Linked DNA regions of Lepisosteus oculatus. The protein of the gene in region 2 binds, or shares a complex with, the protein of the main gene of each other region. Links are inferred from orthologs where the notes say so. Each region holds a gene or a part of one and is shown on either strand. Other genes may lie near its edges. The genes, in order: bromodomain-containing protein 8, mbtd1, vps72b and enhancer of polycomb homolog 1.

Evidence for each region.
Region 1: mbtd1 (region 2) and bromodomain-containing protein 8 share a complex: the UniProt entries of both Homo sapiens proteins name them as parts of the nuA4 histone acetyltransferase complex. The link is inferred for Lepisosteus oculatus from reciprocal best matches to the Homo sapiens genes MBTD1 and BRD8.
Region 3: mbtd1 (region 2) and vps72b share a complex: the UniProt entries of both Homo sapiens proteins name them as parts of the nuA4 histone acetyltransferase complex. The link is inferred for Lepisosteus oculatus from reciprocal best matches to the Homo sapiens genes MBTD1 and VPS72.
Region 4: mbtd1 (region 2) and enhancer of polycomb homolog 1 share a complex: the UniProt entries of both Homo sapiens proteins name them as parts of the nuA4 histone acetyltransferase complex. The link is inferred for Lepisosteus oculatus from reciprocal best matches to the Homo sapiens genes MBTD1 and EPC1.

Annotation. Positions count from the first base shown.
Region 1 is NC_090706.1:29,598,023-29,605,782, reverse strand, and holds the start of bromodomain-containing protein 8, read right to left. Parts: upstream 3,015-7,760; 5' UTR 2,943-3,014; coding exon 2,924-2,942; intron 1,629-2,923; coding exon 1,532-1,628; intron 1,221-1,531; coding exon 1,151-1,220; intron 1,050-1,150; coding exon 1,000-1,049; intron 680-999; coding exon 557-679; intron 284-556; coding exon 203-283; intron 29-202; coding exon 1-28. Other genes in the region: kinesin-like protein KIF20A, read left to right, coding at 7,118-7,276. UniProt on the Homo sapiens protein: May act as a coactivator during transcriptional activation by hormone-activated nuclear receptors (NR). Isoform 2 stimulates transcriptional activation by AR/DHTR, ESR1/NR3A1, RXRA/NR2B1 and THRB/ERBA2.
Region 2 is NC_090704.1:33,791,530-33,799,215, forward strand, and holds the start of mbtd1 (MBT domain-containing protein 1), read left to right. Parts: upstream 1-4,682; 5' UTR 4,683-4,815; coding exon 4,816-4,845; intron 4,846-5,780; coding exon 5,781-5,982; intron 5,983-6,662; coding exon 6,663-6,796; intron 6,797-6,994; coding exon 6,995-7,109; intron 7,110-7,593; coding exon 7,594-7,676; intron 7,677-7,686. Other genes in the region: spag9b (C-Jun-amino-terminal kinase-interacting protein 4), read right to left, coding at 612-911. UniProt on the Homo sapiens protein: Chromatin reader component of the NuA4 histone acetyltransferase complex, a multiprotein complex involved in transcriptional activation of select genes principally by acetylation of nucleosomal histones H4 and H2A.
Region 3 is NC_090722.1:5,052,856-5,059,767, reverse strand, and holds the start of vps72b (vacuolar protein sorting-associated protein 72 homolog), read right to left. Parts: upstream 3,002-6,912; 5' UTR 2,987-3,001; coding exon 2,968-2,986; intron 1,954-2,967; coding exon 1,820-1,953; intron 498-1,819; coding exon 345-497; intron 1-344. UniProt on the Homo sapiens protein: Deposition-and-exchange histone chaperone specific for H2AZ1, specifically chaperones H2AZ1 and deposits it into nucleosomes.
Region 4 is NC_090701.1:39,246,346-39,253,969, reverse strand, and holds the start of enhancer of polycomb homolog 1, read right to left. Parts: upstream 3,005-7,624; 5' UTR 2,712-3,004; coding exon 2,559-2,711; intron 1-2,558. UniProt on the Homo sapiens protein: Component of the NuA4 histone acetyltransferase (HAT) complex, a multiprotein complex involved in transcriptional activation of select genes principally by acetylation of nucleosomal histones H4 and H2A.

The DNA.
Region 1 (7,760 bases), on a different chromosome or scaffold from region 2:
CGCCTCTTCCTCGTCCTGTTTCTTCTTCCTGGAGGCGGGAACAGTAACCGCATCAGTGACGCCGCCACCGCCTGCCGACCGCGCCACAACCACAATCAAATCACAGACATCTCCTGAGCCAGACGCACAGGCAACGAGACCCAGGCAAGTACACAGAAGGACAGGCGGCCTTTCACAGACACTGGGAGATGGACAGACTCACAGGACGATCTCCCCCCACAGCTCCTCCAACTTGTTGTCCAGATGTCCAGCCTGGATTAGTTCTGCCTCCTTCTTCAGCTTCCTGCAGGGAGAGACGCAGTAAGAGTGGACTACAGTGAGGACCATCAGGTCACAACACAGCACAGCATACAGGGACACAGGTTAGAGTAACAGTACACAACAGCACAGGCTACCAGGACAATACTGTAGAAAACAGTGTAGAGTAATATTACACAACAGTTCAGGCTACCAGGACAATACTGTAGAAAACAGTGTAGAGTAACATTACACAATAGTTCAGATTACCAGGACAATACTGTAGGACACAGGATAGAGTAACAGGACAAAATAGTACCTGTGCAGTTCCTGAGTGTCTTTGATCAGCCTCTTGAGCTCATCTATCCTCTCTGCTGTCAGTCTGCGCACAATCACGTCCTCCACAGTCTCCACCACCTCACCCTTCTCTCCCCTCTTCCGCCTGAGAGAGACACAACATTACACAACACTCCTGCACTGTCTCCCCACCACCTCCCCCGAGACACAACACAACACCGCACTCTCTCTCCCTCACCCCACCCTGCTCACACCCGAGACACAACACAACAACAAGGCACTCTCTCTCCCTCACCCCACCCTGCTCACACCCGAGACACAACACAACAACACACTCTCTCTCCCTCACCCCACCCTTCTCACACACCAGACAACACAACACCGCACTCTCTCTCCCCCACCCCCACCTGCTCACACCCGAGACACAACACAACACAAGAACAAGGGATGGGGAGCTGCACTCACTTGGGCGTCTCTGTGGTCTCCAGCAGCTCCGAGTACTGGGAGGCACAGTGCTGAGAGAGACAGACAGGAAGGAGGAAAAACACACTACCGTCACGGCGCTGAAGAGGTCGAGGAAACACTGCAGGAGAACGAGCATCACTGTGTCTCCTACCTTCTGAGAGAACCAGTCCGGAGGGCGGCCTGCTTCTGCAAAGGGCTTGATGGCTCTGCTGACCGACACCCTGGCAGAGGGAGATGTATCTGTTACTGTGGAGTTAACTGTACCTGCCTTGTGAACACTGCGGCTGATCGGTCACGCCAGTGAAGCTCTTTGAATCTGATAGGCTGGGAGAGAGAGAGGATGAGGAGAGACATGGAGACGGACGGAGAGGAGAGGGGGGACAGCTGGAAATTGAGAGAATGAGAGGAGAGAGACGGGGACACAGGCAAAGGAGAGAGAAGGGAGAGGAGCAAGAGGGGACAGTTCTGGAGGGAAACTGTCTGGCAGCCATGAGCGCCAGACAGAGAGACAGGAAGAAAGAGCCCCTCTTACCAGTTCTGGTCTCCACTCCTCATCACAGACGAGGCCAAACACAGCTTCTCCCTCACAGACCAGGGCTCTGTGGGGCCCAGCGACATCAGCTTGTGCTCTGGAGAGAGTCGGGGAGAAGACAGGGGACAGGGCAGAGAGAAGATAGGAGAGGACAGGGGACAGGGCAGAGAGAAGATAGGAGAGGAGGGAGAGGACAGGGGACAGAGCAGAGAGGACACAGGAGAGGAGGGAGAGGACAGGGGACAGGGCAGAGAGGACACAGGAGAGGAGGGAGAGGACAGGGGACAGGGCAGAGAGAAGACAGGAGAGGAGGGAGAGCACAGGGCAGAGAGAAGACAGGAGAGGAGGGAGAGCACAGGGCAGAGAGAAGACAGGAGAGGAGGGAGAGGACAGGGGACAGGGCAGAGAGAAGACAGGAGAGGAGGGAGAGGACAGGGGACAGGGCAGAGAGTAAACAGGAGAGGAGGGAGCGGACAGGGGACAGAGCAGAGAGGAGACAGGAGAGGAGGGAAAGGACAGGGGGCAGAGAAGAGAGAAGACAGGAGAGGAGGAGACAGGGGACAGGGCAGAGAAATTATAGGAGAGGAGGGAGAGAGAGAAAGGTCATATTAAAACAGATAAACTGTATGTGTGAGCAAAATGACAGTCTCCCTCTCACTGTACCAGACACTGAAACCTGGCTCTTTAATCACAAAAGGAGTCACTGACGCTGAGGAAATGATAACAACTGTGCCACCATGCCGCCTGCTGAGAACAAACAGCCCGAGTCAAACCTGGTTCAGTCAGTTAAGAGTTGGATCGTGTACCTGAGGTCTGGCTGGAATAAAAGGCAGCAAGCGTTCGGGCTCCAGGAATATTCTCTACAGGACTGGGGACCACTGGTCTAAAAGATACTCAACCGGCCATGGCGAGAATATTTCTAAAGGATATTTACCCGGCTACCGATCATGGATAGTTAGTACTAACTGGTACTAAAAACGTGGGAAGTGTTCAGTAATAAACAAGAGATACGCGCACGCCTAGCGGTGTCGTAGGAAGTAACAGCCAGCCCCTATCAAGCGTTAGTACAGCTACCAGCGTGGTTTCTCTTAACTTTCTTTCAGGTTCAGACTCTGTATGACACACAGACCGAAAACTGAGACGCTCTCGTACACCCCGGGCCAAATCCTGAACTACAGTCTTTGTGTCTGCGTTACGTTACTCCTAATGTTACGTTAAAAACCGTCCGTTACCAGAATACCACTTATTTCTGGGGAAAGTCACGGTAACCTTACATAAGGAGTAAGGAGAAACATCCGTTCATCGCGCAGAACAGACACACAAAAACACAGAAACAACTCCAAAACACTGATAAAGGTACAAAGACACAATTAAAATATAAACAACACCTACTCCCTATGCCGCCCGCCATCTTGACTCCTTGCCCCTCCCACACCGCCACTGAGCACTTGCACTTCCAGGTCAAAGTGCTTTTCTAGCCCCGATGCTGCCTGGGAAATGAAGTCTTTGGCTTTGGAGGGACATGTACAGTATGACCAATTTATATATCGCTCATGGAAAATACACTTTATCTATAGAAATACAAATAAGGTGGGAATATTGTACTTTCTAAAGTCTTTGTTTCTGTAAACTGTACTGTTTACATTAGTTTATATACAGACTTCAGGGCCGGCCCAATAAGAAAGGGGGATTAGCTCAAATGGTAGAGCGCTCGCTTAGCATGCGAGAGGTAGCGGGATCGATGCCCGCATCCTCCAAAGACTTTTTCTGCACTGCAGTATCACCTATATTTGCATTTCTGGGGTGTTATATACTGTAATTCTGCAAAATCAACTGCATTCAACTTTCTACAGTATCATCCGTGTTCGCGTGTCTACACGATTATATATTTTACATTACTACCTATATTTGTTTCTATAATACTACATACTTCTAAGTTGTGTCCTATATTTGGATACCTCTGCCTATGTTAATCTGAGTTTACACTTTTAAACAGGCGTCTATTTGCAACCCCTAGTATCCCACAATCAAAGGCGCCTTTCCTAACACAACGGGCTGGGACAGACTTCGCCCGCAGATCAGCGCCATCAAGGCAAGACGCGGCCCAGAGGGGGGGCGACAACAGCGACTCCTGACGGCGATGCTGGGAAGTGCAAACTCCCGACCGGCCGACCCACGTGACCCGCTGTGCCCTGCGGCTCCTCAGCTGCCAACAATGCGCCGTTTGTGTGGGACAGGCGGTCCAGATGTTTATCAAATCGATGTGGGTTCACATCAATGCTTCTTTAGTACCGCCGAAGTGAATACTGTTCACATTTATTGTTCAGTCCCCGAGGGAAAGAGGTGCTTGCCCACACACTAAACGAATTTGCACGGCTGTCTAAAGATGGCATGCTGTTTAGATAATCTATTAGCACAGGAAGAATAACATATCTGTAAGGGGGCGAGAAACGCTGGCTTCTCTCGACTAAATTCACACAGCAGGTTTATTCAAGTAGATAAGTACAATATCTACTCATGTGGGAATAAAGCCGATGTGAACATGAATACGTAGCTCTTAGAGGCTACTCTGTAGCGATGCAAAGGAACAACTAAAGGTTTAAACGAGCACCCACCAGCTGCGGTAGATCGCCATGTTGGCTCAGCTCGCCACGGTGCTTCTTTTTTTGAGCCAACATGGAGCCAGTTTCCATTGGTCGCACTCTATTTCTCCTTCACAGAGGCACGCCGCCGCGCCCTTTCTCCGCCTGCGCCTTGGGCGAGGGTTCAGCGTGCCGTCCGATTGGCTGGAGCGGCGGCCCTCGCATTCCGAGCGCTGCCATTGGGCGGCTGCGGGCGGCACTCGGAAGGTGATTGGCTGTCCCTCCGGGGCGCGACGTTTGAATCGGTTTGCTGAGGGGCTGAACGCTGGTCCCAGAGTTCTTAGTTCAGCGCGGTTGTTAATTTAAGTTTAGTCGACAGAGGAAAGGGTTTATAGGACTTTTAATGTGCCTCTATTTAAACTTCTAGAGAGGACACTCAGTCAGAAGACGTCAGAACTTTACGGAAAAACCTGCGTTTGTATTTAAAGAAGGTTAGTGTTTTGTTTTGTCTTTGAACTAAATGAGGTTGCGTGTTTTCTCTCGATAGTGAATGTGGGTAATTTTCAGATTGAGGACACACCGCTCGAAGACATAAATGTCCTACACCCGATTGCTGTTACTGTATGAAGTATTACAACAGTAATTCGTCGGTCACGCCAATAAACTTCAGTAAATAAAAAAAAAGACCAAGAGAGCGAAACCTTAAAATCACTGCGGACAGTGTGGTCGTGTAAATTAATCTGTGGACCCCCCGACTGCGTGCGCTCTTTCTACCGTAAACAGACTTCCGACCTGGTAAGATACAGTTGCTATAAACACCCCAGTGTTCCTCTTATTTCTAAATTTGATGGTATATTGTGTTCTTACAGTTTTTATTGCATGACTTTTGTGAACTGACAAAAGAAAGCCCTGTATTGAAGAGGTTAGAGAATAAAATCGAGAGTATCAGACTGCGAGGCGGGCAAAAACCCTTTTTAAAAGGACGCGTGCGCCTGACCCCCCGTGTGCATGTTCTTCGCTTCTCGGCATTGAAATTGCCCCAGCCTGCTGGTCCGCAGAGAGAGGGTCGTGCGCGGTCTGAGTGGGTTGTCCACCCGCGGAACTGGTTTGAAACGGCCGGGTTCTCCACAGACTATCCCTGTATCTGTGCGGGTTTCCTTTCTCCGGGGGTGGGTGGGGGGGCGTGCTCGCCTGACTTGTTTATCCTCGTGAAAGTGAGCTTCACGCACAGGCTTGCAAATTAGGAACAAACTGCAGCACCGCAATACCAACACTGCTGTTAATTCCTGGACCCGGAGAGTCCCGGGTCCGATGCGGTTTTTCACTCCACACCGCGCTCTAAGACTTGATCTGAACCAGGGCTAACAAGCGAGAGGAGGGCCCGTCTGACCGCTTTGATCGATAGTAGCTAATTGATCCCGGGATCAGTGATCAGCTGTTTCTTGTAAAAAAAAAAAAACAGGGTATCGGCTTCCACAACGTAGCGGGACAGCTTGTACCACACTCCCACCACTCTTTGTGTACAGACGTGCCTCCTGTCCTGACTGGCTGGGCAGCTTGTTCTACGGCTCTCTTTGTGTAGAGGGGGTGTGGGAGAGCCTTGTGGGACGAGCTTGTCCCCTTGGAGTTTCTGTTTTTCCCCCTTGTCCAGCTCTCTCGCTGGGATTAGCAGTTACCTGTGGAATTTAGTGGACTGGCCCCATGTGGAATTTACCTCCACTGCTGAGAGAGAGGGAGGCAGCTCTGAAGCTGGTCTGTGTTCAGTGAGGCAGCCCTGTGCCCTGCAGGCTGCTGGCTCCTTCCAGACTTCTCTAACCACCTACCTGCACCTGACCCCTGTGACACTGTCCCAAGCCTCTAACTTGGCCCCTGCAGGGCCTTGCGCCCTCTGTAGTCCATTCATTAACCTAATTAACCTAAATTGGACACGGGAGTTTTCCTAAGGTTTTGAAAAGCTGATAGACGGACTGTAACAACAAGGAATTAAACTCGAGAACTCGGAGGATTCTTAAGATTTAGACAGCATTCGGGACTGGGCAAATACTTGTGAGTTCTGAAGAGCAGGGTTCTCGGTACAGATCCCTGTGGTGCTCCACTGATTACATCCGCCATCCTGAGTGTCCTGCCCATTGACCAGTTCCCAATCCCAACACATCCATGAATACCTGCTGCCAGCAGTGGGATTATGCCTCTACCGAGACCCCATGTATCCCATGCTGGATGCTGTCTGTTACTGTTGTAGCTCTGCCCGGCTGAACAAGACCCACCTTTTCTGAGAGTCTCGCAGAGACGATTGTCTGGTGTAGTTGTAGTAGGTGTTAACATTGATCTGAAGCGTAGATCAGATTGACTTGCCTCCGTTTTTTGCCCTTTCTGTGCCTGAGCGACTATTTGGAAGAGTTCTGCTAATTGCCTACGGAGAATCGGGTCTCTCGCCTCCTTATGTGCTACTGCTAGAACACAAACAGGACCCAGTAAACAATAGAAGCTCGGAGTTTGAGCCAGTGGTTTAGAGCTATTTTTCTGGACTGATGCTTTGCTATTATTCCTATTTGTTGGAGCGAAACTTGTTAGCGTGAGACTTGTACTGCTGTGCACTGGGAGTGTGACTGACAGCACTGTAAAGCCTGGAGTGATTAGCTTTATTGTAAAATCATCACTGGCTGTCTGCTCTGTTGTTATACTGCTGATTTTCATTTATTTGAAAAAAGCTTCAGTCTCCCTGCTGTTTGTGGGTATATGGACCAGTGTGTGTCCGTTCAGTGGGCAGTGGCTGCAGGTGTAGGGGGCTCAGGGACCGAGGGGGGTGTGAGTGGGTGTGGGTGTGTGTCGGTTCAGTGGGCAGTGGCTGCAGGTGTAGGGGGCTCAGGGACCGAGGGGGGTGTGAGTGGGTGTGGGTGTGCGTCCCTTCAGTGGGCAGTGGCTGCAGGTGTAGTGGGTCTGGGAGATGGTGGGGTGTCACCCCTCTAACCTGAGGCTGTCTGCTGCTTTCGCAGTGGTTGTCATGGCGACGTATGGGGCCTCACCGCGCGGCCTGCTGTCGGACGAGGAGGAGGCTGCGGTGTTCGAGTCGACGGCGGCCGAGACCGGCGGCGGGCAGAGAGGGGGTCATCGCCTCGCCGAGCTGTCAGTCATCTCCCCTGGAGCGGACGCCCCCACGCCGGTGAGACAGGCGACGGGGCAGCGCAGGCGGAGCCGTGCTGGGATATCAAACCCCTCGCAGCGTGTGCAAGCTCTCCTGCTCTCGTGTGAACTCTCCCTCTCTCGCACACTCACATCACGCTCTCTTGCTCTAGTGTGAACTCTCACTCTCTCGCACACCCGCATCACGCTCTCTTGCTCTCGTGTGAACTCTCCCTCTCTCTTGCTCCTGGGCGTGCTCTCTCGCACACTCACAGCACACTCTCCTGCTCTCGTGTGAACTCTCCCTCTCTCTTGCTCCTGGGCGTGCTCTCTCGCACACTCACAGCACGCTCCTGCTCTCGTGTGAACTCTCCCTCTCTCTTGCTCCTGGGCGTGCTCTCTCGCACACTCACAGCACGCTCCTGCTCTCGTGTGAGCTCTCCCTCTCTCTTGCACCTGGGCCTGCTCTCTCGCACACTCACAGCACGCTCTCCTGCTCTCGTGTGAACTCTCCCTCTCTCTTG
Region 2 (7,686 bases):
CGGATAAACGAATAACGATCTAGTCCCGCAGCTAAACCAACAACCTCCAAACCTACGAGGAGGTCCCTAAGAAGGCAAATGTGCGCGCAACCTTGTCAACTCTCCCCGTCACCGGTTCAACAATCCGATGCTTCTGCCACCACCTATACAGGGGCACAGGAACTGCCTGCGAAGGGGCTCGGCACGACGGCCACAACCTGCGGAATGTGAAGCGTCTTTACTCAGAACGGCAGTGCAGTTGTTTTCTGGAAAACCCAAGGCACGTCCGAACTTACTTTTTCGGGGTGGGCTGGGTTGTGACTTAATGGCAGCTGAATTATGAATTATGGCAGCTGACAGAAGGAAAATGCAATCGGGCGATGCCACGGCACGATGATTAAGGGATTAAGGAAGAAGGGTAACAGTTAGCTGGGTCTCTGGACGCACCGTGCAGTGCAGATCGCTCATGCCATGATGCGCGCACGGTAACGCCTGGGGTGTTGTACACCGTGTGTGGCCCAGAGGCGGCTGGCGGTTGGCACAGGGTCGGTGCAGGAATATGATGAATAATGCCAACGGCCTAGCGGGGACAGATCACCCCCCGCCCCTTCTCCCGGCTCAATCCCCCTCACCTCCTCGGCGTGCTTCCTCAGCGCCTTCTCCCTCTCGTACTGAGTGATCAGCTGCTCGTTGTCCTCCTTCAGCAGCTCCAGCTCCACTTCGTGCTCCTGATTCTCGGCGAAGACGGAGTCCAGGTTCTCCAGCACGGCCACCACCAGCGGCATCAGCTCCTTCACCACGTCCTCGTCGTACTTGCCGATGAGCCTCTCGAACTCGCGGTAGATGGAGCTGGCCAGGCCCGACACCCGCTCCGACATCATTGCCGCCGTCCCCGGGTCGTCCTGGTATACAACTCCGTCCTCTAACTCCATTTTCTTCTCTCTCTCTTTCCGATGCGGTGCAGCCCTCCACCTCTTGCTATCTTGTACGAATTTATCTGCTCCTCAACGTTGTGTAGATGCCGGACTTCTTTAAAAAAAAATTAAAAAATAATAAAAAAATAAAAGAATCCGGGCAAGTTGCAGTCCCTCCCTTTAAGGGAGCGATGTCTTGTGTTTTATTTGGCTGCCGCTCCTCCAGCTCCCTGTGCAGCTGAGTTGTTGACCAGACCGTCACGTGATGACGTCACATTCTAAAACCGGGGCTGGGATTTGCGAGTGGAAGGGCTGGAATATTGCGCTGCAATTTTCGTTTCTTTAAAGATTACGCCTGGGTGTCTTTAATTAATTAGTAGTTTCATTTTGCACGAGTCGTGAAATTAATATTTTTGAAATATTCAAACAGAACAGAGTGTATCGAATTATCTTTTTGTGCGTTCACTTCTTCATTGTCTTCCAAGTACTGTATTCGTTTTTATTTATTCAAATGCACTGAACCATTCGACTTGTTCGTTTTTAACTAGGTAAGTCTTGCATTATGTGTTTTAAGACAAACATAAGTAAAACTCAAAAGAAATAGCCAATTTAGAACCCACTGGAGGAACTAATTAAACTAGTAAAGAACTTATCGAATGTCTGCACTTCTGATTAGAATATATCCCTCAGATGAATGGAGGTGGTATATTATCGAAAGCAGAAAGTGAGGAAGTCTGTTGGATTATTAAATATTAGAACAAGGTGGAATCTGACGCCAAAATGTTTAATTTAGTTCAGGTTTGTGAATCTGTATATGGTGCTACACATGCGGTTAGTGCTTGTTTTTGAATTGTTGAAAGTTGGTATGTCATGCCCAACGAACATGTGCAATATCATATTTAATACATTGCATTTTAAAAAGAAATATTTTTATAGAGTGCCGTCTACCTGGCACATAAGACGTTTAACAACTCACCTGCTATAGGTAAAGCTGAGTCTGATTTGATGTTACAAAACAGCGCCCTCTGCTGGGTCTCAAATGTTGCTGCTCGTTTAACCAGCTCATACTTGTTCCTTGCGACGTTGGTATTACCACGACCAAAACAAAATTATATAAAAAACAGACATTTTAATTTACCATGGTTCTGTTTTAATATGTCAAACTATCCCAATAGCAAGCTCTTGAAATATGTTTTCCTGACACTCCTGCTGTTTTACAAAGTGCTGAAAAGACACAGCTCTCAGTCTTCAATTAAAACGCGCACACAGAAGTGGTTTACACAGAGGTGTCCCTATCAAAGCAGAAGTTAATCGACCTCTAGTTGGACCGAACGATAAAGCAATCTGTTGGCTTAGAAAGGTACGTTTTTGTGCGCCGCAAAATGTCGAAAGTTCCGAGCTTAATTATTGTTCTTGTTACTGATAACGTATGTATTTAATGGTGCAGTAGCAGCTGTATTTCTACTTTCACGGTTGAAGTATATGTAGTATGTTATAAGAGTTCGTGTTGTATTGGAAGTTGCAAGGTAAAAAAGCTGGTTGAAATAAATGTGTGCACATTTAAAACCAATGTTCCCATGTCAGAATTCCTCTTTGGAAAATCTGTTGCCCTCTTTGGTAAGCGGGACTTAACAGTAAAATGGGGTGAATGGTATTGTAAATTCGTGATCGACTCAGGATGAGAGAACTAAAGAAATGTATGTATCTTGAAAAACAGTGTTACGATTTCAAAATGTACAACACACACATAACTCGTACGTTGCGTGTGAATAAATCAGGTCATTTTAGTTTTGGGAGCGAACCATAAACATTAGGTTTTCAAATGTTTAACGCAAAAGCTATGAACCCCACATACGGGATACAGCGTATACGGCGTGCATGTGTAAATTCACTGCCTCCATCACAAGGTCTCTGCTTTCTTAAAACTGTGTCGGAGTCTTCTCTTCTTTCGATCGCTCCTCATGTACCGAGCAGGTGCGCCCCAGATGTTGTACGATTTCTTTTAGCTGGGTCAATTCGTAACATCAGTGGGCTTTTGTTCAGTGCAAGTGAAAAAACTGCCTGAGGTCTATCTAGCTTCATTCGTTTGGATACAATAGCTCTTTGAAGGATGTCAAATAAAAAACAGAAGTGTCATAATTCCGTTCAACTCGTGATATGTCTTTGGGTGCCTGCAGAACAGGTGCGCTCCATTGAAGCAACGATAACAGACTCCCCCCCTCAGGTAGTACGGTGGCCTCCAGGGGCCAAAATCCTCCGTGTAAGGACTGTGTCGATTACCATTTCCTCGTTCCGACCAATGGCAACCAGGGGGTTTACCCTGCGCCTGCGCTCTGCAGATATGATAATTTTGTTGATATTCAGCTGGAGTTCAATATTTTGGGTTTTAGTTTGATTTTCTGTTCTATTTCTCCTTCTCGGGAATTTTACAACTGCACACACAAAACAAAACGGCATTGCATGAGGGGCTGATGGAAAACGCCAGGGATTTGGTGAGTTGAGCGGGGAGATCGAGCGTGGTGCTTTGGAGTGCAACAAGCCTGTTTTTCTCTTCCTTTGTTGTGATTGTCAGCCTGCAGCAGAAACAGCAGTAGAAAAAAGGGGCCTCCAGATTCGCCTAGGTAAAACAATCAGGTTTCCAAAGGTTCGGCTGACGGATTGCCGGGGCTTTAACGATTGTGAAGCACCCGAGAATTAGCTGAAACACATTGCAGAGACGCTAGTTTGCAGGACGAAGTGGAAAAGGCGTGCAGGCCCGTCACGACTGCAGTGGTAGTAGCATTCAAAGCACACACACAGATAATGCTTCCTTGTTTTTTTGAAATACTTGGTACGTAGACTTCCATGTCATTCGTGTATGTAACGGGTAAATCCTTCAAAATACGTGTTTTTCTGATATTACAGATAAAAACCCCAGCGAACACACCTTGTTACTAGGTGTTAGAGTTCCGAAGAAATAAATGCTGAGAAATAGCTGCTTATTGCTCTGTAGACCAGCGTTGCGGGTTACCATTCTGCTGTTACCGTGTCACACAGCAGTTTCGCTCTGCCTTGAGATTTTTAAGCATTTCTGCCGGAGTTCAAAATCGTAGCCATGTTTACAAATTAGAGCCCGGAAATGTTATGATACCAAGTTTTAAATGACTTGTTTAAATATTTGCGAAAACTCGGTATATCTTTTTATTGTCACCTTTAACTCGTAGTGTACTGCAGTTGGAGTAGTTAAGCTTATTGAAATACTTACAACTGTCGTTTGCGGCCGTAGAATGTATTGCATCCTGTGAAATGCATATGAAATCGAATAGCGATCATTGAAATTTCATTTCCATAAATATTTGTTTTTCTATGTGTAAGGTGCTCACTGACCAGTAATACATATCCTATACAAAGATTTTCTAGGTGTATTTCGGGTGTAGTAAGTTTCCACTACCATTGAAAGTTGGAAATATTGGATGGTAATAAGTGGAAGAAATAATTGTAAAAATGTTTGCAAGGTTTTTTTTAAGTTCTGTTCTTATTATCTTGGGTCTTTGAGTAGCATTTATTGGAACAGCGAGATTCTGTTTTGGGAGTTCATCATATTTATCAAATAAGTCTCTTCTGTGCTTAGAATACTGTTCAAAGCTGCCACCCATTATACCATTAAAATAAACTTTCTTATATGCAGGCTAAGAAACATCTTTTAAATATTGATTAAGTTGTCACAGTAGTAAGCTCCAGCAGATAGTGGATTTTGCACTGTACAGCTAAACTGAATACTGACACAACATGTTCTCCTTTCCAAAATACGAGGTGTGCCAAATAAAATGTAATGTTAAGAGCAAAGGGATCAATTCAGGAAAAAGAAACATGCTCTAGGCATGCCCCATTGCAGATTCTGAACTGCTACTCATGAGAGGGACCTGGATGTCTAGATTCTTCTATGTTCTCATCAAGACACCAAAATGCCAAGGTACTGTATGTAGCAAAACCTGAGAAATTTAAAACAAGGGAAGCTGGACAATACGCTAGTGTGGACTAATTAAAAATAAAAATCTATATAATTCAACTTTGGTTACAGTGTAATGACATTACATGTGGTTTCATTACTCATAATTTTTTTCTAAAGTTATTTCCTTTTTAACATATTTTAATAGACAGGTTAAAGGAACATAGTCTGTTTAGTTTAGATAAAGTAGGCTTGATCCTAATATTAATAATAATTACTTACATTTATATAGCGCTTTTCTGGACACTCCAGTAAAAGCACCTTACAGGTAATGGGGACTCCCCTCCACCACCTCCAATGTGCAGCACCCACCTGGATGATAATATCATCCAATATATCTGCCTCTGAGGTTTTTATATTGGGTCAACTTATAGGACTACTTACGACTCTGTAATGAAAATAAATTATTATGACTGTAATAAAACATAGATCACATTTAGAAACTAAAGGAGCAATCATTTAGATTGGGGAGTAGAAAACATGTCTTTACACAAAGAGCTGTTGGGGCCTTTAAGAAGCATTCTAGCTAGGCCTGTGTTGAGATCCAGAGTCTGAGAGTCTGAGCTGCTTCAAGAAGCAGCTGAATTTGCAGCTGTTCGCATGTTCTTATACTTTAAAATGCACCATGTGTTAAGTTTTGTTTAAAAGAAACTATAGAAACTTTGGTATTTTGAGAAAGGTGTTTTTGCAATCTGGAATCATGCTCTTAAAATAAAGAAAAATAGGCAGCATACAGTAGCTTTGGTGTAGATTTTTAATCTGAATACACTAAGTGCACATTGGTTTTCAGGCTGGTTAATATGCCTGCTGTGTTTCTGATTGTAACCCATAAGGCCAAGGCAATAGGAAATGCCAGGTCTGCAGCCAGCGCTCTTCAATGCCTGTCTTTGTTCACCCAGACTGAACACACTCCTCGGTCAGACAGGAAGAGGCGGGACTCCTTCGGGATGTATGATGGGTATGACAGCTGCAGTGAGGACACCAGCAGCAGCTCTAGCTCGGAGGAGAGCGAGGAGGAGGTCGCCTCCATACCTGCCAACCTGCCCATCATCAAGAACAATGGGCAGGTGTACACCTACCCAGATGGCAAAGCTGGCATGGGTCAGTCCACAAGTTCACGCTGCCCTCTCACAACACAAGTCTAATTACCCAAATTAAAGGCATAGCACACAGAGTGTTTGGTGTTTATTTTATAGCGCCATACCACCAGCACACAGAGTGTTTGGTGTTTGTTTTATAGCGCCATACCACCATTTAAAATGCAGTTAAGTCATTCTGTCTTTACTAGAGGCCAAACTTACTCATTGCTCTTTCAATATTTTTTAGCTTTATTATCTATATTTAAAATATCATAGTTGTGATTATTTTACATTCTTTCATTCTCTGTTCTGTTGAAAAGAACATCTTTCAATAGCTGGTGTAAATAAATGCATAGCTATATACTGTACATATATATCAACTGGTAATCCGTAGACTGAAATGTGAGTTACAAGGGCTCTGGGAAGAGTCATCATCACTAAACAGAACTAGAAAAAGGCAAGTTTAAAGGAAAGTCACATGACAGAGTAAGCTGTGCAGATTTTAACAGTATTTGCTTGTGTTGAATTATATCGGGTGTGTTCTGTTTTTTTTTTTCTGCATGACATTAATGAGTAAATTGAGAAAAAAATGTTTCCAGCGACAGTCTGGGATCGTGCAGGGATGTTTGCACAATTAAAAGGTTTCTCACTGTTCCCACCACTTGTAAGTGTGATGTAACCCACAATTGCCTGTTCTTTCAGCTACCTGTGAGATGTGTGGAATGGTGGGAGTCAGAGATGCCTTTTATTCCAAAACCAAGCGATTCTGCAGCGTCTCTTGTTCCAGAAGTTATTCCTCTAACTCAAAGAAGGCCAGCATTCTGGCTAGGCTCCAGGTAATGTTCTTTATTTTACACGTGACCCCAAAGAAAGCTGTTTTGGTGCTTGTGTTAGCAAAAAGACCTAGGTTAGAGTCACCAGCCAGACGAACAGCAGCTGTATTCACTTTTATAAGATTGTAATCTACAAATAATGTACATATTAATGTCTTTATATGTTAATAACATTGAATATTGGATATTTTTTATTTGCAGGGTAAACCACCTACAAAAAAGGCAAAAGTCTTACAAAAACAACCTCTAATGGCCAAGTTAGCAGCATATGCCCAGTACCAGGCAAACCAACAAAACCAAGCTAAATCAAAAACAGGTGAGGGACAGTGAAGTCCTGTAACTGTGACTATTTAACTAGTAAGAGTTTGTATATTCACAGAGTGGTTAGCATTTACTACATTTTACTACATGTGTGAATCTAAGAATAAATGACACCTTCCTTGATGCAGAAATTTGAATTTTGCATTCTGTAATGTACATAGTGTAGGTGCGTGGTATTACTAGATCATTACTCTCTTATTAGTGCTCCCAGAAGTAGCTGAAAGGAAGCACATGGTTGATGAATATAAGCATAGCACACAGAGGGCACTGCCTTTTGGAAAATGAATGCCGTTTAAGCTTGCCATTTCTGAGTGGGACTCTTATAAAAACACAAAAAGATTCAATTTCTTGAAAATGCATTAAAGATATTTAGGGAATTGGGTGCTGGAGTGGATATTAGCACTGTTGGTAATAAGTCACCTGAAGCAGTGATAAACTGAATATATTTTATCTTTCTGTCCTTGTCTTGCCCTTTTCAGTGGTTCCTGTGGAGGGGTTTGATTGGGGTCGTTACATCAGCAGCAATAACTCTGTTGCGGCACCTGTTAGCTGCTTTAAGCACGTAAGTAGAA
Region 3 (6,912 bases), on a different chromosome or scaffold from region 2:
GCGAGGGCAATCACTGGGATCAAAAAACACAAAGGCAGGGCACAGCGTCTTCTGCAAACCCCTCAGAAGCCAAAAAGAATAGCACAGCAGTGTCAAAAGGAAACCTGTTTATTAAGAGTGCAAAGAGGAGGCACTTTTAGACACAAAGCCTAAGAGCTGGAGAAAGCTACCCTGCCAAGTTGCCTGAGACGATTCCTCTCTGAGACCCTCCGATCAGACACCCTTCAACAAAAGAGTAACAGAGATTATCTTATTCCCCAGGAATACCGTGTCTTGGCTGCCTGCAGACGCCCCATGAAACCACCCCCCGACAGGCCCAGAGTTTCTCAGAGCCGCCCCCTGACCTTGTAGGCCTTGGTGACCACACGCCGTTTCCTGCGGGGCTCGTCCTCCTCCTGGTCGCTGTCGGGCTCGTCCCCCTCGTCGATGTCGAAGTCGCTGTCCACCTCGTCCTCCGTCTCCGACTGGTCGCCCTTGTACTCGTCGTCGCCCGACTCCTGCCAGCAGAGAGGAATGAACCCGATGGGAGGGGGCGGCGCCCTTATAAGAGCAATCTGCTCGTTTTCTCCGGGATTCATCAAAAACACTCCAGCACCTCCATAAGTAGCGGCAGATTAAAAAGCTCTAGTCCTAGAACATCTTAATTACAAATTGGCACGAAGGAGTCAGAGATTATTGCTAATAGGGCTGTGTGGAACACAGCACTGGATCTTTATACCACTGGATATACACTTTATACAATGCATCTGCAATTTAATAACTGTTGTTGGGATTTCAAAGAGACCTAGGAGCCCTAACTGAAACACCAGCTTCTCTAGGACTAAGATTGCAGACCCTTGGCTTCGGCCATTTTTACATGCTAATGTATACCATGCTGAGTTTTGATTTTTGGTTATCACAGAGGTGCCCCCAGCTGTCCCCGACACACCTGTGGGGCTCCCACACATGAGCAGTGCAACACAATAATAATCAACTTTAACTTATATAGCACCTTTAAAAGGTGGCTTTCAAAAAAAGCTCTTTGCAGAACGACAACAACAACAATAAAAAAAATGCCAGTTTTATCACAGCCCTGTTTACAGTAAAACCAGAAATTCAATTCAGGTGGCAGTGTCAGCATGCGTAGGCTGCAAAGGAACAGGTAAAGATGTATTCCATGCTGAAAGTAAAAGAAGAGAGACTACGTTTCGGCTATGGAGCCTTCTTCAGGTGCGTTTAGTTTATAACTGAAGAAACTCCACAGCCGAAACGTTGTCGCTTTTCTTTTCCTTTCAGCACGGAATAAACCTTTACCTGACGCGAAAATCAGCTTTTCCTGTGCTGCCCTACATCAGTGGTTCTCGCTTCTGGTCCTGCAGCGAGCCAGCGTCTCTCCTTGTGCTCGAGTCCAGCTGGTTACATCTGTCCCTCATATTAGCACAAGAGCTCATTACAAATCTCCTTCGGACTGATAAGAGCAGAAGACGCCTCAAGTAGAAAACCTAAATAAATGAACTCCGTTGATTAAGGGAACAAAAGCGAGCGGACATAGGGGTCCAGAAAGCCCAAATGTGAAATCCAGTAATCTTCACCAAGCTTACCGCCCATAACGACACATGCTGAGGTGTTCGTGTGCGGTTCGCTTTATGCTCGGTCTCGTAACATTTCCAAATCTACGATTTTCATTTCAATGAGGGAGACCTGTGTAAACGTTTTAAGCATACAAAATGACTACTGTATTAACCTGAAGCTTCCAATTTCATATTTCCTGTACTATTAAATTAATTTTATTTCTGATAAGAAATCTGTTCTAACGTAAAGTCTTGTGTTAATAACTTACATCGTTGAATCCGCCGTAAGTCGTTTTGTAGAATTCGTCATCTTCTTCCGCATCTAATAATTTAGACATACGGTTTCCCGCCGTCTTTCGCGGTGCTCGACCGACGGCTAAACTCATGTTTGGGTAAACTTCGTCTGCAAAATAAAAATAAATAAACACGACCCCCTCAGCCTTCAGTAGTAAAGCTATACTGTAAGATTAAGATATCCGTTTACTTCTAGATTGTACCGTCCGTCGAATTTAACAAGAAAGTTATTTTTGTGAAAACGCCTTGGTTTTTTTTTCTGAAAACTATATTTAAGTCCAATTATTTTCTTTATTTAAACAACAGAATTAGACACTATTCGCAATCCGGCCTACGGTGCAAGGCGGCCATTGCATGTTTTAAGTCTTTGTAATTGATTGCCGAGCCTTGAATCCAGACTCAACTAATGGAGCTGAACCGCAGTGGTTGTGACGAGTTTATACCAGGAGGTGACAGTGTTACCTCAGCATTCACCCTCTACAATTCTTTCTCAAGCCTCGGTGTTCCTGCAGTTAAATGAATATCGTCTGACTGACGATTCGCTCGCACATTTCACATTGCACATTTTAGCGTCACAAAGGGATTTGTTCACAATATTCTGGCTGAAAAATCAGGTGATGAATCCTTCAAAGGACATCAAAACCAAAGCAATCCAATCCAGTTCCCAGGAGTCAAAATGCCTCCCCATGTGAGATAGCTCAAGGGAACTGGTTAATAAAATTGGACAATTATTAACTTCATCCGGCTGTGAACAGTTTGACAGTTATCTTATGTTGCCACCTGCATCAAAGGACCCAGTTAAGTAAGTAAATCATTATTTCAGGAGACTGAGCCATCACAGATCATCACCTACCAATGAAGGCTGCTCAAGGTTCGAGACTGGAGGGCTGTGGGTTCGAATTCCAGCTGTGACACAGCTTTTCTATCCTTGAGTGAGCTGGTTCACCTGAATAGCCAGCTGTATGTTGGTAAATGGGGGCAAATCTAAGTTGCCCTAGATAAAGGCATCAGACAAAAAAAAAAGCAAATTGATTTTCAAAGTGTGTAAACAAATGTATGATTTAGCAGCTTTCTTCTCTCAAGCTCTCTTGCACTTGACTGAAGAGACTCAGTTCCTTTTAACCTGTGCTGTAGATTGACATGGACACCAGCCCTGGTCCTGGGTGGCTGGCTTGTGCAGGTGTTTCATCCTTGCTTAGCTCTGTACAAAGTCCAATCAGCTCCTAATGGCTGAAGTGGGCCCAATTTAACAAACTGGTGCTGGTGTTTCAAAAAGATCTAGGAGCTCCTCTAGGATCAGGATTGGAGGCCTTTGGCGTCAGCCATTTTCACATGACTTGCAAGCAGCTGTAGAGAACACCTCAAAGCAACAGGCGGTTGAAGGAATCACCAGCAGCACTAGCAACATGGTGTGTTGACTGTTTATACACAAACACAGGTGGAACTACATGTTACGCCTACTAATGTGCTAGTACCAGTTGTGCCAGGTTAAAACTGATAGCAACAATGAGTGTGCCTGTGTTGCCAAAGCACTGAACATTCCTGCAAGGTCATACAAGTAAGAGATGATTTGGACTAATTCTAATCCAACAATGTTTGCATTTCTTCTTCTGCCTAAGCAGGCTGCCTCTTGATATACTGTATGGGAGTCTGTGGCATAACCACTGTGCTGGCTACCCTCTGCCTGCTGCCAGGGGATATTGGGATATAGGAACTGGTTGCAATTCTGCTGCCAAGCCCCAGTTTGAACGCTCCAGCTCCTCAATGCCTTTTTCAATGTCAGTTAATCCAGCTGCCTGCCACCTGGGTTTTCACAGAAAGCACCGATGGACATGGCAGGGAGCACGCTGCAACTGTCTCAGCATTCAGTTCCCAGCGCCTGCAAGCAGGTCCCTTCGAAGGATAATGTGTGAAAAAGAAGGAAATATAGTCGAAACACAAATGCATCAGATCTCAGTCAAATGTGGTGAGCGTTAACCATACAGAAACATGTGTGAAGGGATATTAGGCAGGATGGATGACTTTGCAAATTCTTCACGTATTTCAGGTTATTACAGACTGCTTCCAGAGTGCACTGGAATGCATACAAATGTTGTACCAGCTAAAACTGATAAGATCTGGTATGCTGCATGAAGGACAGTCTGATTCTTGGAAGATTTATGTGAAAAGGATCTAAGGGCAGATATGTTCCCTGGCCGCATTCCCCACATTCATCTCAGGCCACAGCTGCAAAGAATGGGGCTACTGATGAGGGGAATGAGGCGGCTGTGTTTTAAGAATGGGGACAGGCGAGATGCTCTTATCGAGAGAGCATCCGCAGAGTTTCAGCCGAGCAGTTTCACCTCCGGCAGAGGGGGAGGAGCGCGCTCTCCCGGGCTCTCCGAGTCGGACGCAATCCCTCGAATTCTGGACGGAGTGTTGGGTTTCACAGTTTCGGGGGGAAAAGGCCATGGCTGTCCCACTCCGGATCTGGAACGCTTTCCGGGTTATTTTGCCTCCCACCATCCTCCCGAACCAGCAACCCTGACCTAGTGGCTACCCCCCCCACCCCTCCCCCACTGCAAACACAGGGGACCCCGAGAATCCTGCCGCTCCCCAGCCTTGGACAGCCTCGGACTCTAGAACAGAGGGACCCGTGGACACCATGCAGAGGCCGCCAGGGCTGAGCACCCACCCTCCCTTTGAACAACGCCAGTCGGCCAAAACTCTCCTTCACTCTGAATGCTTTTAGTGTCCGTAAGAGTTGCACCATCAATAAAGACTGACAGGGGTACCACCCCTAGAAATGAACACTGTTCCTAAATATTAGTCTTCCTTAATATCCCTCATGCACAGCGGCCCAGCACCCACCACACTTTAACAGACATTTCCACTTAAGTGGAAACCTTTAATACTTAATACAAGAATTCCTTCAATTAGTATGGCGGCGTGGCTGAAGACAAGGAGCTGGTGTTCCAGAAAAGCACCAGCAGGCAATTTAAAAATTGAGGATAGTTTGCCGACAAGAGGGGGCGAATTATCACAGCCAGCTCTTGGTAATTGGTAGCTATTCACATCAACGATCGCCTCTAGCCTGGACCAGCGGTGAAACATGGAACGCTCTCCGGATCAGTTTAATCCGGACGGGTCATCCCGGACCCAGTGGCTACCCCCCCACTAGAGGGCACCGGTGGGAACTTCCTTGGAAGTGTAGATTTAAAACATGAGAACGGGAGCCACTTCTTTACACAAAGAGTGCCGGGAGTGTGGAACAACCACGTTGCTGAAGCCGATACTGTGGTTTCTTTACAGAAACAGCTGGGTGAGGTTTCTTGGAATAATTAGCTACAAACTACTAAATGGACTGCATGGGCCGAATGACTCCTCTCGTTTCTGTCCTTATTTGCTGACGGTATTCCACTGTGAGAGAGCACGCCGCTGGCTTTCATTATATACGTGTTCGATATTTCTGAGACTCAGAAGGAATCAATATTTGGATCACGAAACTCTTAACTACCAAACGGGCTTGACGGACTGAATGGCCTCTCGTTTTTAACCGTTCTTAAACGTCAGTAAGACACACAACCATCCGTCTCATTTATTTTAATTATTTTCCGGGTACATTGACACGCAAAAGCGGTACAAACGAGGGCACTTTGAAAGAAGGGGCTGTGGCCGCGTAGCCATTGTTCCCAGCTTGTTTCAGGCCAGCTGTATCTCCCCCGATTGCTCGTTTTTCCCCAAAAGCTCCGGACGGTAATAAACTGACCACCCACGTTGTCCGGCCGCACACACCTGATGGGCGGTCTCCCAGGCGATCCAGCCCAGAGGAGCCGCCGTAGCAGAAACACACCCGCCTGCGCTGCAGAAGAATCTCCCCATCCAGAAAAGGGGAATATTTTTTTTGGGGGGGGCGATGAGAGAAGCGAGTCCAGACAGACAAGCGGAGACTCCTTGCCCAAACGCAATTGCGATACTCAGCAGCACCACGAGATGGAGCAGCAGGTGGAAAAAAATCGCGTTTTTTTTTGCTGGCCTCGCTGCATTGTGGGGGCAGTTGACCATAGACAATAGGTTCCCCCCCCTCACTGCTGTAAAAGGCAGACACGGAGAGACAGGCCCGAGGCCAACAATAGAAACAGTGGCGCCTATTGTCCCAGCTGCACGTAAAAGCCGTGCACTGTCCCGAATAGGAAATAGCCGATCTGCGGTCCATCAGCAAAATGCCGCGCTCACACGTGACGGGCCTTAGGAAACGACCTTCCAAAATACATTTTCCGTCCCTTTCTGCTACCTGCACACAGTCGGGACGGGGAACAGGGGAGCGTGTGTTCAGCATGAGAGCCCCGAGCGAGTGTTCAATTCAAATACTGCTCGTCTGCGCTTCAGTGGTAAAGCACCTGACGGCTCCCGGCAAAGTTTACCCAGCGCTGTCACGCCGGAGAGACAATCAAGACTCCTTTCGCTTTTGTGCGTCCTCTTCAAACAAATGGCAAAGAATCTGCTGACGTGCGTTGTCGTTGTCGCTTGAGCTGCGGGGAACAATCGCCCGGATCGGGGGTCTGTCAGGTACACTAGTTCTGGAAACAGGTCCCCAAGTGAAGAACACGAGAACCAGAGGAATTGCGCCCATTTTGTTTTGTCATTAGGATGCGGTTGATCTAATGGTCCAGGTGGATGCTGCACATTGGTGGTGGTGGAGGGGAGTCCCCATTACCTGTAAAGCGCTTTGAGTGGAGTGTCCAGAAAAGCGCTATATAAGTTTAAGCAATTATTATTATTATTATTAATGACTTGGCGCAACTGTTTCTTGAAAGCAGCCCGTGTATCGGGCTCCACAACATGGCTGGGCAGATTGTTCCACACTCCCACCACCCTTTGTGTAAAGAGGCGTGTCCTTTTTCTCGGTTTGTCACATAGTTCCCACTTGAGCCGTCTGGAAACACTGGACCAGGACAGAAAAAAAAAACAGCCATGTTGTGGTTTTTGTGTACTATTCCAATTCACAGAGCTCTATTGGCATGACTGGTGAATTGCTGAAGATGAACTGCTCCACTCTATTATATTTGTCAGTGTTGTACGTACTGTA
Region 4 (7,624 bases), on a different chromosome or scaffold from region 2:
ATCGATTCCTTTCCATCTTGATTTATTAGACTTAAAAAAAAAAGGCTGTTCACCTTCCTCTCACTGCTATTTTTAACGGATCAGATGTCAGCGAGAAGACAAATCAAGGTGATGTGGGCAACATTTAGCAGCCTCTCTTGACTACTACTGGCCACAAGGAACCACACCAGATTAGTAGTTTGCCGTGTTCTGTTAATATATCTGGAGGACAGCAGATATGAAAGACCAAAGTTCGTTTAATGAGAATGACTTAGGAATACAAAATTAGCTCATTAAATCTCCCTTATTTTGGTGGGTCACTGCGTCCCCAGACATCTTCCTAATCAGAAGCCGAACAGTCCCTTTCTGCTTATCCAAACACCCACTGGAATATCACGAAAAATTGAATGGTTTAAATGAGATTTATGGGCAGAGCACGACACTTAGTCTGATCAATAAATTGTGTAATATCAGTAATGCATTCTTATACATATACACAGCATAAATCAACACGGCTTTTAATTAACTCACCTGTTGCTAACAATTTTGACAATGGATTACAGTGCTTTGACAGATGCATCCAATTTCTAATTTTCGGTTCTTGATCCTAAACAGTGTAACAATTAACAGGGCAACTATCAAACTTGTCATTCCTCATCATTAAATGCTCTTCCCTCCTATTTCAACCCTAAACAAAACAGTTTGTATTACAACACCATAGAGAAAACCAAGTTAAAACGTTAGTGTGTACAATAACCATGGAAATGTCCACAAAGACATCAACCATCACATATGCAAATGTGATATTGATTAAATGCAAGAGAAGGAACTTAAAATCTCCACAGAGAAGGGCACTGGAAGAATATATTGTTAGAGTTAAAAAACAGCACGTTCGGGTACGGATTCCCCACAAAGAGGTAAAAATCAGACAGGGGTATCTTCCTAATCTCTCTCTTAGCACGCAGCCCTTCAAAGTCAAGTTTTGTCGTTTACAACTGAAATAGGAGCTGCAAACCCAGCGCTCTGCCTGCTTACAGAGTTCAGCAGAAGACTTCACCCACTGACATCTCACCTCACTGGCGCCAACAGTTCAAAGGCGAACTGACATTTGCAACGAAGGTGACAGTGTAGATCTGCGGTTAGGACTTACTAGAAAGTCCGGTAAAGTGGTTTAGAGAGGCGTCTCCATACTATTGCAAAAAAAAAACGATAGCCTGCTTTAACCTCACAATTTAACTTATTCGCACAGATGCTACTGCTGCGTTTGTAAAACATTCACCATACCCGACCGGCTTCTACACAAGCTTTCCCTCTTGGCATTCAAAGCTGCAGAACGAAGCGAAGAAACTACCAGCCTAGATTTAGGACTATCCGTTTCTTCATTCAATCGGCAACTCAAGCGTGAGAGGCTTAAATCAATCGCCAAACTTAACGCAAATGGAGGAAGTGTGGATAACGGCCACGGAGTAGGAAGAGATATGGTGTTCGGAAATAATGGAAAACTTCAGACCTACTCTCGAGGCGATAATGCAGATTTAACTGGGACTGGGGAGAGGGGGGGGGTAATTTACGGTTTTAGGACTAAGGCAAAACTGGGTCAGTTTTGCGTCACGCCTCCTGACGAGCTGTATCAACACAGCCGCGCAAGCACGGCAGCCGAGCAGGCGTGAGCACACCTCAGCCGGAATCAGACCGGTCATGTCCATTTTCTGCCAAACGGAGGGAAGTCTCCTCATTGGCAGCCCGGCAGTGCCCGCTGCCCAGCTCCGTGCGAGGCACAGCCGAAGACGAAAGAAAACAAAAACACCCTTCACGTACACAAGCTGTACATTCGTTTACGGAAACCTCCGCGACTTGCTCAGCTGCCGTGTCTCTAGAAAACACTGAAAGACAAATGGGCAGATCGCAAACTTAAACACGAACAGCGTGACCCCATCGCAAACTCTTGTCAGCGCCAACAACTCAGAACGCGTACGACGCTGTTAAAAAATACTTCTGGTACTACTCCATTTCAGAAACAGTTCATGTCGTGAAGCAAAAAAAAACGAGTCTAGAGAATGCAGAAAACGGCTTCCTTCTGCGTCAAAACCAACGTGAGCACAGGCAGTCGGACCTGCGTTCCCAGCCGACAGCGCTCTTGTTTATGTTGTAGTATCCCATGTGTACTCAGACTGAGGGGGGGGGTGTGGGCTGCCAGCTCTCGCGCGCCCCCTCGCACCGGGCCGCGGCTCCTGCAGCGACACGAGGCCCAGCCCAGCGCGAGGAGAAAGTCAGCGAAATGGCGGATTCGCCTCGAGTCACGTGACCCCTTTGTGCCGTGCAACCCTTTTCCCGGGTTAACGGGCCCCGACAACCGAACCCAACAACACCATCTGCAACCAGCGCCGTCTTATATTTGTATATACTGCACCAAATCCTGCTTAGGACGCGAGCAAAACCCCGAACCAAGCCGCCTTTCTGGAACGAGAATATGGCGGCCATTTTGTGCAAGCTTGCGCAGACAAGATAGGGGCGCCCCTTCATGCTGCCGAAACCTGGACATTTTACCAAGAATAGGTTTTCGGAACTGCAAAACGTACCGATTCCTCCTCTTTTTCCATCCCAGTTGGCATCTGCGGCACTGCCCGGTTAATAGAGGCATATTCATGCAGGTCGGGTAAGTCCTCGCAGCGGAAGACAGGTAGTGGCTTGGAAGCGTCCAGCGCCCGTGCCCGAAACGACAATTTACTCATTTTTTATATTTCGAGATGCAGCATAAATCTATCCGATCCCCTAAAATTCACAACTGTCCCGGTTTGAGCTCTCATGGATGTGTCTGTGTCGTTCTCCAGTCGTCTACCGTTCGATTGGTTAAAAAAAATACAAACGGCGAGGCGAACGGAGCCGGGAAGGCCCGGATCTTGGTCGCTCTCTTTCGGTCTCTTTTTTTCAGTCGCTCCGCTCTCTCTCCCTGGTTCAATACGCCATGGCCAACATGGCGGACATTAAAAACTCTTTAACTCTCCGGTAGCTGCTGGCGGCCCAGCCCCCCGATCAGCGCACAGCCATTCCCGCACGGCCCCGCGCGCGTGCGCGCTCGCGGCGCCCGGAGGGGAGGAGGAGGCGGCAACATGGGGGAGGGGAGCGCTCGCAACGCCGAAATAAACAGCACCGAGGAGCCGCGGCCCCCCCCCTCCCCGCCCCATTCTTCTTTCCTCCGCGCACTCTTGACAGGCAGCGCGCAGCAGCAGCAGCAGCTCTCGCAGCCTCCATCCGCACTACACGGCGTGTGTGTTGCGCCGACATGGGACGCGCTACCCGCGACTTAAAGGCGCACTCGCCCCCTGGTCTGTGGCTGAATGGGGGTTAACACGGGATAAACTACAGACCCGAGAGGATAGAGAAGTTGAATTTCCACCAACACTGTACAGTCTACAACTACGTTCTCATCTTAACGGAAGAACAGGTTTCTATTGGTAATGAAATGTGCGGTAGATAAAAACTACAGGTAAAAACGTAATATGCATCAACACTGAGGCAGTTTCTAAGTTTAGTTTCCTCCCAATATTGTAAGTAAGACATCCTACGGTTTACTGCAAGCTTAATTTTTTTTTTAAGTCTTCCGTGTGCCATCAGAGTTACAGGTATTTGATCATTGGCGTTTAACTCCAAGGCTGCCTGCTACCGATTTCTTGTTGGACGCCTCCAGTTGAATCTCCACAATCTTGGAAAATGTCGCCCTCTTTTGAAAAGAAAATGAATCGCATGGTACAGTAAGTAAGCGAACCCAGGGAAGTTTGCTCTATACTGTCTGAGAGTTTCTAAGTAAAAGGAATCAACAGCTTTGTAAAGGACAATCAAAACAAATCAGTCTTTACAAGACCAATGGAAAAAAAAAAGTTAAGAGCACTTAAAAACTAAATCATGCCCACAAGAAGGAAAAAATACCAAATTGATCTCGAAAAACTTAAGGCTTAATAACACATTTAGAAAACTAAAACCATCGGTGGCTAACCTAATTAAAATCAAACTTTCATCCACAAATTGTATTAGCCTGAGATTTAAACAATGACACTACTGAAGAGTTTAATTAGATTAAATGCATCATCAAACCATTGATCTTTTTGTCCCTTTTGAAGTTGTGATCAGCAAAAGCTAGTACATTTTCAATTAAACTCCAGTTAAATTCACAGAAACACAGGGTGGCGATTAAATTCCACCAATGGCACTCCCAGAATGTTTATACTTCTGCTAAATAATATTAAAACTGACAGCTAGACATCTTTTTTTTCTAGTGATAAATTTCATTGAATCCTTTATTTTACCAGATAAGAAAATTAAAATGACACTGCCATGGTCTGCAATGTGAACAAGTGCAGGAATTAAGGATTTACACCATTTAACTGAACACTCACATCTAAAGATGGACAGTTTCAACCTCTGCAAAAGGTCCCAGGCACTGGCAGCAGCAAGCAAAGTGCCCGTCCCCAAAACGGTAGGTCTACATGGAAAATGAATCCAATAATAGCATTAGCTCAGTGATAGGCAGTAAGATGGCACAGAGGTGCAAAAAAATAAAAAGGAAGGGTTTTCCACAAATTACAGATTGGGGGATTTTAACAGGAGAGCCTGCCTCGTATGCCAAGAGAAATACATTAAAAGAGTAAAGATCACAGAGATGAGTGTGACATGAGGCACCAGTGATATATCTTAAGTCAAAAGGGGTAAAAATCAGCAAGTTCCTCAAAGAATATTATCAGATGCCACTAAGCAGGTATTACCTAGTCCAAGATTGGGCATACAGACATTTAAAGTAGTGGACACTTTCATCTAGGTATACAACTATTTGTTGCGATACAGAAACTACGTTTGTACCTATCATTTTACTTTAGTAGTTTTCCAATTTAAACCAATGTACTGTCATCTTTATTTTAAGTGTACCTTTTTTATGCTCCATGACTAGAGCTTTAAACAACATCTAGGGAAATATTTATTCATCCTTTCTCACCTCTCCCTTTTCATCCGCACATTTTTGTCATTCTTGCTCCCACTCTTTTGACTTGGGGCTCAGCTCTCTTCCTCATCTACACCCTATTCCTGAAGAAGGCTCCACTTACAAAGCATCTCTTACAAGGAGAAAAGTGTAAAGATGGTAGATATCCTATTTCTAAAACACTTTTTTCCCCTTGAATTCTGGTGTGGATATGTATAATAACGTCAGAAGTGCAAAGATGCTACAACACGATTTCCTTCGATTAGTGAAATTTTAACTGCAATCCCTTAGCATGATTACGGTTCCACTCATCTAAAGGCTGGAAATGTTATAATCAAAACAACAAAGAGTCCTTTAATTAAAGTTTATTCTATTTAGGTTTAAGGTGGGTTAAAATATAAAAGCCAGATTGGATCTATTGCTCCTGGAAGCAAGTATACAAGAGATCCTGGCAACAGTCATGGTGCAATCAGATAAAACAGGATATGTTCAGTTGCAAATGTACTTCCTTTAAAGCTAAGTTAGACCATTTCCCCTGTAGAACTAGGAAGTTGCACAAAATCTAGTGTTCTAATTCTTATCGGTTAGAATCATTTCTCCAGTACCACCAGCTGTTGAGGCTCCCAAACTAGTAAATAACCGCACAGCTTTGAGAAAGAATAAATCCAGGCCTGACAGGTACCAAGCAAAATGACAAATCCACATTTCGGGGGAAAAAACTGCCATATTTAACAAATGAACCATAGATACCATCTGCTACCTATCAGCTGGTCAGCAACACTACAGCCTGCACCTAACTGCTTTCTTAGACACTGTGAACAGTGTACAAGTGGCTACAAACCCAACTCTTTGATTAACATACACACAACTTTAATGTAAAAGCCAGAAGGCATTTGAGATCAAGAAATGTATCCCATCTTCTAACTGGGTTTTCAGTAACTTGTTAGTATTATAACTGCAGAGATCTGTGCTAACACTACTATACTACTACTTGCTCTAAATGTGAATGTACTCTGAATAGTTATTCAGAATAACTCCTAATTACTTAAGACTTTTTCACTGAGTACTAAAGACATTCTTGTAGCAAATGATGCTGGTCAGATGACAAATATAGCCCTCAAGTCTTACGAATGATGAATAGCCCATTTTTGTACAATGCTAGCTATTTAATACCATAATTTATATATTGATTAGTTCCAGTATTATTTAACAGTCTTACTGTTTTGTGGAATTGAGAACACAAATATGTGAGACATCACGGGGGTTAATGAATGGAGCACATGGTTTAAAAACAAAAACAAAAATTGTATCAAATGTTATAAACCAGGCGTGAGTATTCCTCATTCTGGAGGCTGATTTATCTATACATTTTCTTTTGAGTACATCATCTATTAACCTAAATCAGCTAATTATGGTGTAATGGGACAATTTAACAAAAATATTTAGTTTTTCCATGTGCTCTTGCTCTAATAAGACCTAGAAAACCTACAGTCACTGACTCTGCAAGACCAGGATTGTCCAGCTTCTTTTTAAACTGAACCTCGGACAAAATGACTAGTACAAATGCACAGGTCTGTTTTTTTTAACCATACCAAGGTCTGTTGTACTGTATATTATAAAATGAAAAGATAACTAATCTCCAGGGTGTGACGCACTAGAATCACATCACACCTGAGGTGTTGGATGTTCTTGACCAGCAGCTTCTTGTCCAGCCATCCCAGGTGTGATGTTACCTTATCCCAACACAAACCTTATCGTACACTATTCCTTTACCACCACATATATCTCCTCCATTCATTGTGATGCTTACTTCAGCTGAAAATCAAACAGCCACATAAGCAAGGCATCTATACCAACTTTAATATTTAAGCCCCAATGTTCTTGGGGGCTGACTAGTTCTTGTGATCAGGGATGATGCCCCCTACCAACCTCCAATCACCACCCTGCTATTAGAAAGCCCCTTCTCCTAGAAGCACAGGCAGCAAGGTGGAGCACACCCACACTCTGCACCCGGGCAAGACGCCAGCCAATCACAGGATGAATCAGAATACCCCATGAAGCCAAGCTGGCACATCTCTGGGAGGTGGGAAGAAACCGCAGCACCTGGCAAACACCCCAGTATATGGGCAGAATGTGCCGACTCCACACATGCAGGGCTGGATGAAGGCCCTATCCGAGTGGGAACATACCTAGGGCTCGTCCTCCAAGAAAGCAAAAGTTTAAGCTCCATGTACAATGGAAGACTTTTTTTTTTATGATGCAGCTGTCATTTACTATATTCTGGGAGTGCCTAAATCAGTAGCAACAGACGTACACAACGATGAACCATGCACTATTTTCTGATGCATGACAAGGATGCACCAGGTTGGTGAATTGCGTTGTTAACATCAATGACGGATAAAAGAAAAACACCCGTGAGGCATTGGGGATGAAGAAAAAGCTACAGATGGAAGTACAGCACCCAAGCTGGTTATAAGCGCACAAGATGGAGAAGCATGCAAGGCAGACCTTTACAGGTGTTTCTGGTTGCATTTTGAATATACAAGATTGTCACTGTGAAGGATTCAAGTTTCAGATGATTCTTATTAAAGTCTGTGGAATCAGATGCTAGGTGAAACACTGTGCAGAACAAGACTATGTTGAAAGTCCCTCTGCTATACTCTGACACAAGAG